2 linked regions of the Arabidopsis thaliana genome follow. The protein of the gene in region 2 interacts with the protein of the main gene of each other region in a biochemical or structural test. Each region holds a gene or a part of one and is shown on either strand. Other genes may lie near its edges.

What was found.
Region 1: the proteins of IAA28 (region 2) and AFB5 form a complex in vitro, tested with the Arabidopsis thaliana proteins (one study listed by BioGRID).

What each region holds. Positions count from the first base shown.
Region 1 is NC_003076.8:20,333,397-20,340,450, reverse strand, and holds AFB5 (auxin F-box protein 5), read left to right. Parts: upstream 1-3,779; 5' UTR 3,780-3,919; coding exon 3,920-4,521; intron 4,522-4,611; coding exon 4,612-5,110; intron 5,111-5,272; coding exon 5,273-6,031; 3' UTR 6,032-6,554; downstream 6,555-7,054. Other genes in the region: AT5G49990 (Xanthine/uracil permease family protein), read left to right, coding at 1-151, 278-378, 463-538, 625-684, 829-1,013, 1,144-1,240, 1,482-1,568, 1,684-1,742 and 3 more.
Region 2 is NC_003076.8:9,027,765-9,035,806, reverse strand, and holds IAA28 (indole-3-acetic acid inducible 28), read right to left. Parts: upstream 2,604-8,042; 5' UTR 2,328-2,603; coding exon 2,200-2,327; intron 2,009-2,199; coding exon 1,697-2,008; intron 1,434-1,696; coding exon 1,369-1,433; intron 1,276-1,368; coding exon 1,253-1,275; 3' UTR 667-1,252; downstream 1-666. Other genes in the region: NADP-ME3 (NADP-malic enzyme 3), read right to left, coding at 7,547-7,635, 7,776-7,904. UniProt on the Arabidopsis thaliana protein: Aux/IAA proteins are short-lived transcriptional factors that function as repressors of early auxin response genes at low auxin concentrations.

The sequences.
Region 1 (7,054 bases), about 11 Mb from region 2:
AATATTGTTTGTAGCTGGATTGAACACACTGCTCCAAACTGTGTTTGGAACTAGATTACCTGCTGTTATTGGAGCATCTTATACATTTGTCCCGGTTACTATCTCAATCATGCTTTCTGGGAGATTCAATGACGTTGCAGATCCAGTTGAGGTTCGTAGCTCACACTTATCCCCTAATTGAATTGTGTTATTATCTATTTAGTGTACTATCACTATCAATAAAGTTATGCTTGAATATGAAGTTTTACTCTAAATTACCTTTTTGATACCTTATCAGCGATTTAAGAGGATAATTCGGGCAACCCAAGGTGCTCTTATTGTTGCTTCAACTCTTCAAATTATCCTTGGCTTCAGTGGCCTTTGGCGTAATGTTGTAAGGTCAGTCTTTGAGCTACATTAGACTCAAATCTTGTTCCACTGTGTCAGGTTAAAGAATATGATATTGAACTTCTGTTCGTCCAGGTTCTTAAGTCCACTATCTGCTGCTCCTTTGGTTGGATTAGTTGGTTATGGCCTGTACGAGTTAGGTTTTCCCGGTGTAAGTCTCTTTGTTCTGTAAATGGGAACAGATAAACTAAATTATATCAACCTAGTGGAATCTTGATTCTTTGTTATTTTGGCCAGGTTGCTAAGTGTATTGAGATTGGACTGCCTGGGCTTATTATTCTCATACTAATATCACAGGTAATTGTAGGTAAAGATTCATAACTGGTAGCAATTTGCAGCCGGCTCATCTGTTCTCATTGCATAAGTTATTGATCCGGATGTGTTCTTCCAGTATGTTGATGTTTCTAATCATCTGGGTCATACTTTTTGCTGGTTTTGTAGTACATGCCCCATGTTATAAAAGGAGGAAAACATGTGTTTGCTCGCTTTGCTGTCATATTTTCTGTGGCGATAGTATGGCTTTATGCTTTCTTTCTTACACTTGGTGGTGCCTATAATGGTGTTGGGACAGATACTCAAAGAAGCTGTCGGACTGATCGCGCTGGGCTTATAAGTGCTGCTCCATGGTAAGAATTTCAGAACAAGGCTTGAACATTGAATGTCTCGCTGAGTTATGTTAGCAAAAAAGTATTTTCTTTAATGACCTGTCAGTGAATACAAGTGTGGCTTAGCATTTTACGCTTATTAATTGTGCAGGATAAGAGTTCCGTGGCCTTTCCAATGGGGAGCACCATTGTTTGATGCTGGTGAAGCATTTGCCATGATGATGGCTTCTTTTGTTGCTCTTGTTGAGGTTTGTTTCACTCATCTTCACCTTTTTTAAATGACATTAGACAATTATTTATGATATGCATAGATTTTCATATCCATTTATATAGAAAGGCTGTCCTTAATAGATGAATTTCATAGGTTGCATACTCATTAACTTTTAAAGTCAATGAGACTCTCTCTTCATTCTTTCGAATTTTCTTGCTCTTTGGTTTAATCTCATCTTGCTTACTCATTATGTTGACTTGTTTGTCAACAAAAAACAGTCCACAGGTGCTTTTATTGCCGTCTCAAGATATGCTAGTGCCACAATGCCGCCACCTTCTGTTATCAGCCGCGGGGTTGGTTGGCAGGTAAATACTCACTTCATAAGCTTCATTTTACAAATACCATCTCGAGGTTTTCTCGGGGCAAGCAAGTGGCCATTTATCTAACGTTGTGCCTCAACTATGTTCTCTTCTGGTTTAGGGAGTTGCAATTTTAATCTCAGGGTTGTTCGGAACTGGTATAGGGTCTTCAGTTTCTGTGTAAGACCTCCTATCCTTTTCCCAAATCTAGGACATGAGCTGATTTTGAATGGTGTGGTGAGTTTGTTTTCACATGAATGCAGCGAGAATGCGGGTCTGCTGGCACTAACAAAAATTGGTAGCAGGAGAGTTGTTCAAATATCTGCAGGCTTTATGATATTCTTCTCAATTCTTGGTAAGCTTGTCTCTCTCACAAAAATTCATTAAGAATTGAAGTGGACTACGTTAAGTAATCGTCTTAAATAAAACTAATGCAGGGAAGTTCGGGGCAGTATTTGCATCCATACCTTCTCCTATCATAGCTGCCTTGTACTGTCTCTTCTTTGCGTATGTAGGTAAGTATTGTTTCTTTTTTAGCTTGGTTTAGATTGAAGCAATTTGGTTCAGATTGGTTTGCTTACCAACATATAGAGCTAGAGACTTGTTTTAGCTATGAGCATCTTTAATACAAAAACTGTTGTATAGGTGCTGGAGGACTGAGTTTGCTGCAATTCTGCAACCTGAATAGCTTCAGGACATTATTCATACTGGGCTTCTCAATCTTCCTAGGCCTATCAATTCCACAATATTTCAACGAGCACACAGCCATCAAAGGCTATGGTCCAGTTCATACCGGGGCAAGATGGTTCAACGACATGGTCAATGTGCCCTTCTCGTCCAAGGCCTTTGTGGGAGGATGTGTGGCTTACTTGTTGGACACGACGCTTCACAAGAAAGATGGTTCGATCAGGAAAGACCGAGGTAAACACTGGTGGGACAGATTCTGGACTTTCAAGAACGACCCGAGAACAGAAGAGTTCTATGCTCTTCCGTTCAACCTCAACAAATATTTCCCTTCTGTCTGAAAAAAAATCCTTCCAAACTTTATGGAATGCTGTTTTGCTAGTTTTGTGTCCCTTAGGAGGACACACCTTATCTAGCTAGGTTTTATGTGCATATTCGGTGAGGAGACTATAAAACGCAACTAGATATTATAACCCAAAGTGTTAAGTAACATTTTAGAAATATTAATGTGATGTTTCTTCTATGTTTAGATGTTTTGCATTAAAGATGATACTCGTTTTGCCAAATTTAGAACTAGAGTATGTATGCTCTGTTTTAATACAAATGATTAAAAGAGAAAATTTTGTGAGTTTTGGAGGCTTTTCGATTCTAATTCTATAACAAAAAAAATTTCCTACAAAAATTTGTAATGCTAGATTTGACGTTGAAACTCTTATGATATACTTTTGAAGATAAGTAGGGGTTCATGTGCTTCATTCTCTGTCGTCCATTTAAACACTTCTTTGGTTGCATATAACTAGTTGATAGGAAGTTAACGATAACTAAAAGTCTAAAACAGATGGTTAGCCACAACGATGAGTATTTGCACACAAAAAACAGAGCCTCAATGATGAATGGGTTTTGTATTTAGTTGTGTTATACTGTATTTGTTTTGTTTGATTGGTAGAATAATATGTGCTTGTTTGTGGCACATATATAAATACATTTTTGACTGATAAAATTTAAAGACGTCATTAGCTAAATCGGTTACCACTTACCACCTTAGGTTAAGGTATAAGAAGTTATAAACTATTGTGAGTTACTTAATAATAATCTACGGATCAAAAATGTTAGAATCCAAAAAAGTGCACTAGTTCGAAATCATTTATGCGGGTCTATACATATAATTCGTAGGAGGTTACTTGAAATGATCCCAACCAATTTGTTCATATTATCTATGCTTAGTGATTTGGTTTAAGACAAAAAAAATTACCCTAACCAATATGGTTAAATTCTCAACTTATCTCGAAAAAAGGGTAGGCAAGTGTCCTACACTATAGAAATGGATAATGTTGATTTTATTGTTTTCTAATTAAAACATTGCTAAAATAGAGATCTGAAGAAAATAAAGAGGACGAAACTGTAAAGTGTAAAAACATTGATGGAGACAAGAAAGCAGAAAAAAAGAGTTACATTTTACTTTCTAGTAAGAAAAAAAAAACATGAATATTAATTATTTTTGTACATAAATATAAGAAGACAAAACAGAAAATTAAAAATAAAAAATAATCCCCAAATAATGGAGACGAAGTGGAGAGAGAAAGCTCCCACTCTCTCACACCCCAAAGCTTCTTCTTCTTCTTCCTCTTCTTCCTCTTCCTCTTCTCTAATCTGAATCCAAAGCCTCTCTCTTTATGACACAAGATCGCTCAGAAATGTCTGAAGATGACGATGACCAACAATCTCCACCGTTGGATCTACCCTCTACCGCCATAGCTGATCCTTGCTCATCTTCCTCTTCACCAAACAAATCTCGTAACTGTATCTCAAATTCTCAAACTTTCCCTGACCATGTTCTCGAAAACGTACTTGAGAACGTTCTTCAGTTCCTAGATTCAAGATGTGACCGTAACGCTGCTTCTCTAGTTTGCAAATCTTGGTGGCGTGTTGAAGCTTTGACTCGATCTGAGGTTTTTATTGGTAACTGTTACGCTCTTTCTCCGGCGAGGTTGACTCAGAGATTCAAGCGTGTTAGGTCTCTTGTGCTGAAAGGGAAACCTAGGTTTGCTGATTTCAATCTCATGCCTCCTGATTGGGGTGCTAATTTTGCTCCTTGGGTTTCTACTATGGCTCAAGCTTATCCTTGTCTTGAGAAAGTTGATTTGAAGAGGATGTTTGTTACTGATGATGATTTAGCTCTTCTTGCTGACTCTTTTCCTGGGTTTAAAGAGCTTATCTTGGTTTGTTGTGAAGGTTTTGGTACTAGTGGTATCTCTATTGTTGCCAACAAGTGCAGGTAAATGTTACAACTTATTGGATATGAAAATGCTATCTTTGAGTAATGTTTTGATAGTTATGAACTTATTGGATATTAATTTGTTTTCAGAAAGCTGAAAGTGCTTGATTTGATTGAGTCTGAGGTCACGGATGATGAAGTGGATTGGATCTCTTGTTTCCCTGAGGATGTAACTTGTTTGGAGTCTTTAGCTTTTGACTGTGTGGAAGCTCCTATCAATTTTAAGGCGCTTGAGGGTCTTGTTGCTAGGTCACCGTTCTTGAAGAAACTTAGGCTAAACAGGTTTGTGTCTCTTGTGGAGCTACATCGTCTGCTACTTGGAGCTCCACAGCTTACTAGTCTTGGGACTGGTTCATTTAGCCATGATGAGGAACCTCAGAGTGAGCAAGAACCAGATTATGCTGCTGCATTTCGTGCTTGTAAATCTGTAGTTTGCTTGTCAGGGTTTAGAGAGTTGATGCCGGAGTATCTTCCAGCTATCTTTCCGGTGTGCGCTAATCTCACCTCCCTGAACTTCAGTTATGCTAACATTTCTCCTGACATGTTCAAGCCCATCATACTCAATTGCCACAAACTCCAGGTGTTCTGGGTATGTATCCTTCTTGATCTATGTCTTCATGGCTTTATTAAGTTATATGTGACTTAACTCTAGTGACCGTATTGTTTGTGTTAGATGGATAGAATGAATAAACTTGATATTAGTTGTGTAAGGAACTTGAGTAAAATGCATGACTTGAACTTTACAATGCAGGCCCTTGATTCAATATGTGATGAAGGACTACAGGCAGTTGCAGCCACTTGCAAGGAACTCCGTGAACTCAGGATCTTCCCTTTTGATCCTCGGGAAGACAGTGAAGGTCCTGTCTCTGAATTAGGCCTCCAAGCAATCTCCGAGGGTTGTAGGAAACTAGAATCTATTCTCTACTTTTGCCAGCGCATGACTAATGCCGCTGTGATAGCCATGTCAGAGAACTGTCCAGAGCTTACTGTGTTTAGGCTGTGCATAATGGGTCGACATAGGCCTGACCATGTAACAGGAAAGCCTATGGACGAGGGATTTGGTGCCATTGTTAAAAACTGCAAGAAGCTAACTCGCCTTGCAGTGTCGGGATTGCTGACAGATCAAGCTTTTAGGTATATGGGTGAGTATGGGAAATTGGTCCGTACGCTTTCAGTAGCTTTTGCAGGGGACAGTGACATGGCTCTGAGACATGTCCTAGAAGGTTGCCCTAGACTGCAGAAACTTGAGATAAGGGACAGTCCCTTTGGAGATGTTGCATTACGGTCTGGTATGCATCGCTATTACAACATGAGGTTTGTTTGGATGTCAGCATGTAGCTTGTCTAAGGGATGCTGCAAGGATATTGCACGAGCAATGCCGAATCTAGTTGTGGAAGTAATTGGATCGGATGATGATGATGACAATAGGGATTATGTCGAGACTTTATACATGTATCGGTCTCTTGATGGTCCAAGGAATGATGCACCAAAGTTCGTCACGATTTTATAGAACGAGGAGCATTTCCGTGTTTCCGTTTTTTAAGACGGGAATGAAATGGGTAAGTGTAGGAAGCTCAGATGATGATGGTGGTGGCATCAGAGGCACACTACATGATTGTTGATGATGAATGATGGTGGTTGGGACTTGGGAGGAATGCAAGATTGTTGTATCATTATTTTCTTTTTTTATTTTTGGGTTCAAAAGATGTTATTTGGGTGGTTAGGTGGAACAGTGGATGTATGTTTTGGGAGCATCGGTGTTAGTTAGACAGCTGAGTTGGTTCTAATAAGCTGCACTTTTGGCTCTCTCTAGTTGTTGTTGTTGAGAAACTAATGAGACATCTCTCTCTTTTGTCTTTCCCATTTTTAATTAATTTTGAGATATTTCATCTTAATCTGTTTAAATTATGTCATTTGTCAGCAAACTATAATGTAACTTCAAGAAAAGATCATTTTGATTCGATTCGATTATTTGGCTTCGTTCGGTTAAAATGTGGTACGCGTAACTAAAATGTAGGGTGAGGGAAAGTGTGGTGGTGGAGAGATATGAGCTAAGGTTCTTATCCAAAGGAAGACCTCTCCTTTTGCCTTTTGTTGACAAGCCATCTTTGTCCCCAAAAGACTACATATTTTCAACTGACAAGAGACCCATCATTTATTTCTTAAAGGTCATAACCAAAACTGAAATAATGCAGAGGATGGTGACAAAAACATATGATGGTGGTGGATTAGAGATAATTTGGAAAAAGGGGGCTTAGATATTAGGATTGATGTGATCATCTTACCTACTCATTAAACCACTTAACCCCAATGTTTTTTATGCTCCCATCATTTCATCCTTTATCATCCTACGGTCACCATTCATCCAACTTTCCATCTCCATTCCCTCTCCTTCCATATACTATTACATAAATAAATAAGATATTGTCTTAGTTTGTTGGTTACATGCATTTGTCCCTTACATAGAATATGTCTTCTTCTGTTCAACTTCAGTTGGACGGTGATATTAGCCACTACCATTTGGGAAGCATTT
Region 2 (8,042 bases):
AGTAAAATACTGTGTAGTCGCCAAGTGGTTGGTTTTGGGGTTGCTAAACGCTTTGGAGGTGATGATGATGATTTGAGATGGAAACAAAAGATTATATTCTTAATTGGTAAAGATAAAAATTTCATCAGCATACGGTATATTTTTGAAGAAAAAAAGTTTGAAAGAAAGTTGTGAGACACAAAATTTATAGGAGAATTTTTAAATTTTAAATTTTATTTACTAATTTTAAATTCATTATTTCTTTTAAAATAATGTTTTTTTACCTATCTCGACATAATTGAGTTTTTCTTTGGATCATCAATTAGTAGAGGTAATCGGACCATTTTCCAAGTTGGATTAACGGGTCAGCGAATGTTCAACCTCTGATAGACTGATACTATGTTAAGTTTCATAGATTACTAATTCCAAAACCAATTGACAATAAGTAAAAACTCATATAAATATATATATATATATATATATATATATATATTTATATTAATGAAGTCTAAAGTCGTTTTCACCATCTGAGTTCGAGTAGTATTAGCCACCAAAATTTAAGTAATTTAACATGGTTTTTCCATACTCCATAATCAATTTTTGGGTGTATGAAATTTTTAAAATTATATGAGTTATAAAAAAATAAAGTATCTTTCTCCCTACTATCTTTACTCTAAATACTATTTTAAGATATTACTCGAGTTAATTACATGTTATACCGAAATAATTCATGAACATAACAAGATTACAGTTCATGAAATAAATGGTTTGTCTTTTGTGAAATAAACAATTGGTACTCATGTGTGTTACAAAACAACAATTTTTTTTGGATGGTGTTATAAAACTCGAACCCACCAAACTTGGATAGCCTCTTGTATCTATTTCTCTATTATTTCGGGTAATCTTTACTCATACATAGTAAACAGGCTCTCTGGATTTTTACCTCTCTGAAAAAAACATAAAATGAGTCGGTTTGATTTCGCTAATTAAATACCATTTTCCCTACTAAAAAACGAAACGAAGGCATGAATCATATCAGGCATTGTAATCAACTTACGTGCTTACACTATTTTTATACACACGATAACATACTAACCCCCGATTTCTTAAACGAACAGCATATTTACAACCAAAACAAGAAATAACATAGCAAGCAAAAACCTAGTACATAAGTGAAAAAGAAAACCAGTAAATCAAAGCCAAACCCCATTAGTTTCCACAAAAATTACATTAAAAACAAACCATCGAACTGATGATTTTGGCCAACCTCTCTCTATTCCTTGCCATGTTTTCTAGCTGTGAAAAAATAAATAAATATATAAGTTAATTTCAAGGCAGTAATTAAGTGATGAGATGTATGAAAAAGTTTCGTAAGAATTGTAATCTTACGTGAGAGTGAGAAGGCGTGGGAGGTCTTTAAAACATGCAACCTCTTTACAGTAGATACAAACATCCTAACAAATAAAGTAAACTATATCATTAATATGTCCAATGATTCAAATTATTATCAGATAAATATCCAAAAATATGACCTTTAAAGGAAAATAATAATCTGATGAGAAATGGCCAAACTCTTTTTAGGAACTCATACTAAAAATATTTGTTAAATTCGACAAAAACAAAAGTAGATAGATATAAAATGAATTTTTGATAAAGTAAGTTCATATTCAGTTCCAGAAAAAAAAATGGAATTAGTTTTGTTTGATTTAAAACTTACTCCCAAGGAACATCCCCGACCAGAACTTTATCTCCTTCAGTGTCTTCGTAGACCAAAGTGTATTGTCTGTTTAGATCCCACGAATCTTTCTTAGAGAAGAGTTGGTCAACGGCATGTGAAAGCTGTTGGTAGTTGTTATAAGCTGAAAGGTTGACTTTTCTTCCTATTGGAACTCCTTCCATGTTGATCTTAACGTACAATTCCTTCTCTTCATCACTCTCCTTCTTCTTCATCTCCTCCTTTAGTTGTGCCGTTAGGTTTCTCCGGGATGATCTCACCGGCGGCCATCCCACCACTGGAGCTACCTCAACCCTGTTTTAGCCATATCTAGTTATAACATATACACAAATACTTTTTGATAACTAGATACCGAAACCCAAACTAATCTCCGAAAACTGTAGAATTACCAGGATTTTGTTTTTTATTTTTATTTTATTATCATATAAGACATCTACAATGAACAAGAATGATTCAAATCATTCATGAGAAGAGATTAAGAGAACCTGTTATTGGAAAGGAATGATGTTTCTTTGGTCGAGCTTTTTTGTTTAGATCCATTGATGTTGTTGTTGGAAGTGAATTGGTGACAAGGAGGAGCTAGCCTTAGCTCCAATCTCTTTTCTTCTTCCATTTTTCTAAGTTTGTGTTGTGTTTTTGGTGTTGGGGAGTATTATTATATGGGTGGTTGGCAAGGAACTACAATCCCAATCTTTTTATAAAAGTAGTCTCTTTATATTTTCTAATGAAAAGAGATTTTATTTTGAATTAATAACCACCTAACAGATCCTACTTGTATGGTTTCCGTATGTCAAAAATGCGTTTACATACGTGTATGATTCTACGAATGTGATGCGGATTGATGGGAGACACACATATATTATTTACAACGATTACTATTATATAAAGAGAATAAATTTATATGATGATCATTAGAAAAATCCAATAGACTAATTTAGAGTTATAGGTAGGTGGTTATCAAATTAAAAACCCACTTAGAATATATGGTAACATGGTTCATAGCCGTGTGGGGTCTCATACTACCGAATAACTCTGATTAATTACAAAACATATGATTCCAAAAATCTTAGATGTAATCACCAAATTATTACGCTGTCTAGACGTGTCCATTATCATTCTAATTCGATCCAAAAAGATGTGGGTAACCGAAAATTACCAAAGAACTAAAATGCTACCATAGCACCAAAGTCAAAATGAATATCCAACACATACACATAAACCAATTTAAACAAAGAGATATATAAATAACAGTGATTAGTAATACCCCTTTATTAGCTAGTGACATGAATTAAAATCATATTGAAAAATGAAAATGAATGCTATTCTTACTTAGAAAATGAAAACTATAATCATATAAACTATGTACAATTGCTTCTCTTATGCATGACATTTGTAACACATGTATTTTAGAAAATTCATGTATGTCACCGTGACTCATGAGACAAAGAAATGTATCATGCATGGTTGTGTCATCATGTGATCATCAACATAGTCATCATATGATCATCTCCACACCCATTCTTGGAGAGTAGAGGCCGACATAGAAAAGGAAACAAGAAAGAGGAAAGAGATTCCTAGGCATGCTTAAATGAGTACCTACCAATAAAAGGAGTAAAGTAGTAGGTTTTCGTTTACTAACCTTCTTCTGTTTATTTTTATTTGATATATAAGTACTGCAAATATTAATTGTATGTATACTTAGAATTCCACTACAAATTCTCTCTTTTTTCACGAAAAGTCCACTACCAACTTGGTTTTTGTTACTCTAATTTGGCCTCCATAATGTTTGTCCTTTTTTTCAAGTTACATAATCGATTGATTTACGGAAATTGCCAACCCATGAAAAGTCATCTTAAACATAATCAAGTATAACTTTAGAAATATATCAAGATGGTTTAAGGATCTTTCAACTCAATCTTAAAAAAACTTAATAGCTATGGCATATAATCAAATAAGCTGTAATTTGATTAGTGAAAATAACTAAAATGGGTCAACGCTCAAAATACTACAAATAAAACTGTTGAAATAGACACATAAAATTTGTGGCTATTTCACAGTTTCTTATAGTTGAATTGGTTTATACTTATCTTGTGTCTTTTGTCTAGAAATTTGTGGCAATCTAGAAATTCTCTTTTGTCTTTTGACCTTTTTTCATGGGTCATCACCTATTTGTTTTATTCTTTTTAACTCGGGGCAAAACAATTTCTTCAGCCGATTTATATTAATTAACCGAGAGTCCGAGACCAATATACCATGACTAATCATCACACTAATAATGACAGAGCTTATAGTGTAATTTTTACTTGATTCTGACCCTGCACATACGTGTATATAAATATAATGGAATACATTTTTAGTTAAAAATATTATAGTGTATAAATTATAATATGCATAGAACAGTGTACAGTGTTAATTATGATAAAATAGCTAACTTTTTTTATTAATTTATATTATTTATATTTTATTTATATTTTGCATGGTAAATATATTGTTAGATTTGTTTGGATTTGCTGAATATATAGAGATATTTGGAAAATCTGTGTATTTTTGTTAGTTTGATGTATATATAAATTGATTGTTTTTGTTTGAAATTTGATCAATTAGATGATATAATGTAAATTTAACTCCGCGGTACACCGTTGGTCGATTTTTTGTAACTAAAAATTCAAATTTTAAGATATAGTTGTTTTGTAAATATTGTTTATTTTGTTTAGTGTTTAAGATTATATAATTATGTTATAGTTATTAATTCTAAGATTTTACTCGTAGATTATCGTCCCGTATTAATATCAACCCAAACTCGTTCCACCATATAACTTCATTCCGTAAAATGAAAATCATTTTGTTATTTTTAAATATTGTTATTCTAATATATATAAAAATCGACGGATCGACATGTGGTACATCTTGGATTAATATATTTAAAAATAATTTGTGATTTACAAATTTATGATATTGTAGTATATAAAACCAATTTTTAGTGTATACCTTTCAATAAGATGTAGTTTTTATAATTAAAGTATAATAGTATTTGGTCTTTATGTTAAATAATAGTATTTGGTTTTTTTATAAACTATTAAATTAGTTGATTTTAGTTAAAAATAAAAAATTAAATTAAGTTATATTTGTTTTGTTTATTGTTTAAGATTGTATAACTATAATCTAGTTTCTTATAATCTAGTGTTGACCCTGAAACAAAAATCCATAAGAATACGCATAGATGGATAGTAATATTAGAAGATAAACATCATTAGAATATGAAGTACTTTACTTATGAATCTCTATATATTGTTTTAAAGAATCGATATTCTAGATTGATTGTGAGGCAATGTGAATGTATGCATAACATTTATAATTATAAGAGATGGATTGTACGGAAAATTAGATTTTAATTTGGATTCAATCTTAGCTTTACTGAATAAACTAATCTGAATTGCGTTTTTTTTCAATCTAAAATTTACTATAATCTCAACAATTTTGGTATTTTTTGATCAAACTTATCCTTATGCATTATCGCAAATATGGTAGTTATTATTGTTCGAATACAATTATTGATCTGTCAAAATAATCATATTACTATTTGTTCTTAAAAAAAAGTCATTCAAATTTAAAAGAAAAAATATTTTTGGTGTGAATCAATATTTTCTCATTTTGAATATTTGCATTAAAAATTTTAAACATTGGTATTTTAAACTCTGTTTTATTGTTTAAAAAAAAATCAAATCTAGAAGAATGAATATTCTAAAAGCTTGTATCTATTATAATACGTTTAAAAATATATTTTCTTTCATATAATTCAAATTTAGCTTAGCGATATATTTTTAAAATAATGAAAATTACATGTTTAAAAAAATCCTTTAAAAGTTTATATCATTTAAATTCTAATTAAAATGTTAAATATTTGAATCTATACTGATAATATCTTCTAGATATTTACAAATCTAAAATCCAAAAATTATCTTTTGAATATGCTAAATCATAACTAAAATCGTATTTTTATGTGTACTAATGAGAAACAATTAACATAGTTTTGTTAAAGAAATTGTTTAAAATCTAAACTAAATGATAATTTGTTATTAAATTAGATTAAAGTTTCCGAATTATCTAATAACATATTACCAAAATAAATAAATTTTCATATATACAATTCGAATTAAAATAGCCTGATATGTTATGGAAATGTTTTTAAATGATTTCCAAAAATATCGGGTAGTTATGAATTTATTGATTTTAAATTCAATTTTTTAAAAGAACAAAATCCAAGATATTTATTTAGTTGTTGTAGTTGTTAATTTACTAAATTACCTATGCAAAGATTCATTTAGTTAATTTTAAACTACTCTTAGAATGTTGTAGTTCATACAATGCTTTCCAATTAATAATATAGATTAGTTTGTTGTCTTGTTATAACTCGAATTTAGTTTAGAAATATGTGTGTTACTTTGTTAACAACATAAAATAATTTATATGATGCGTAGGTTAATGCTAACTAATCTGAGAAACTAAATTTATCTATGCTCAATCATACATTATCTAATAATTTTAGAAAAATATATGTACGAATCAATATATAATATATTTCAAAACATTTTGGTAGAAATAATGTATAAATAATACAAATTTTCAAATTAAGAGTTATATAAATTTTATCAGCTTTTTGTTAGCTAAACAATATAAAAAGAATTTTAAACATCTAAAATCCAATTAACTTAAACATTTTATCAACGTAATTTTAGACGGATAAATCTCTATATTGTTATTTTTATAGCAAAACAAATAAAAATAAAAATAAAAATAAAATGGCAAATAATATGTTCCAAAAGAAGAAGTTATGATGAACATCTTGGTACTAAACTACTAATACTCGGTACACATTTAGGCATGCCTCTCATTTTGAAAGAAAAAGGTTAAGAACCAGTATAGATGTTCAATGAATGTATAACCATTCTAACAAAAAGAAATCAAACAATCATCATTATCATAAATAACTTTGCTACTAATAGAGGGCCACCACTTGCAAATTTACCTTTTTATCTACCAATTTATTGTTATTTATTTATCTTTTCTTGACTTTTAAGATTAATGATGGATGGGATCATTGACTTTGCAATGATTATAATTTTAGGCCCAAAATCACTTCAAATATTCTCTTTTACACTCCTTTGCGCTTTATTCTTTTCCCTTTTAATATATTTTTTGAATAAATACTTTTTAATATATTATAAAGATATATAAGACTTTATATTAATTATGGAGATTATTACGGATTTTGTCATTTTCCTTACAAAATTTACGAATTTGCCAGTTTTATTATTTGAATAGTTTAAATTTACGATTTGTTTTTGCTAAAATACATACTTTATAACAAATACTAAATTTTAAAAACAAAAGTAACCAACTAAACTCAAACATCACATGTGAAACGCTTTGTCAATCCTATTTTTATAGCTTAAAGACAAATCCACAAAATTTTAGTGAAAGTGGCAAATTCACAAATGATACTCCAAACAATGACAAATTTTATCATTTTTCTAAATCTATTTTTTCTTTTCATTAACTGTATTATTTCCCCCATTATTTCGTCTCATTTGTGTTCCACTGCAGATTTACCTAAATTAAATTTATTTAATGTCCGGAAAACGCCATAACCTAACACGCGTACGGCAAAGAAATGAGTAATGGATTATTTCACAATTCATAAAAGTTAATAAGGTTTCATTATTTAAAGTTAAAGCAAAAGTATAAATAGTTTAGAAGTTGTCGTATATAGAAAGCACCAAAACTGAAAAGCAAAAAGTAAAAAGCTGAGCCAAAAATGTTAAAAAGAATGTTTTAACGGAAGTTTCTGTAGACAGGACTGTACATGCAGCTCTCTGCCATCTTTACGAGGTCCTTAGGACGAGGCAGATTCGATGCCAGTCCTGCAAAACCAACAACAACAACAACAACAACAACAACAACAACAACATGTACATGACATAAGATTTTTGCCATGGAGATTTTTTTTTTTGGACTGATCCTATTTTTAATATGATCAAAAAACAAGAATTATGAAACTAACCGAGTTCGTAGGTTTTGGCTCCCACACTGGCTGCAATGTTAGCAGAGATCTTTCTGATGTTTGCAAAAGGCGGATAGATCAGTCCGTTCGCAAAATTCTCTTCCGTCACTTGGGAGGCCAGCGCTTCCGCTGATAGAACAAATAGTTTAAAAACACAAATGGTCTTAATAGTAATAGTGAAATTTTTCGTGACAAATGATCTAGATAATGTTTCGTGATTATTGGCGGATTTTTAATTGACTAATAAGCGAAATAAATGAAAGACTA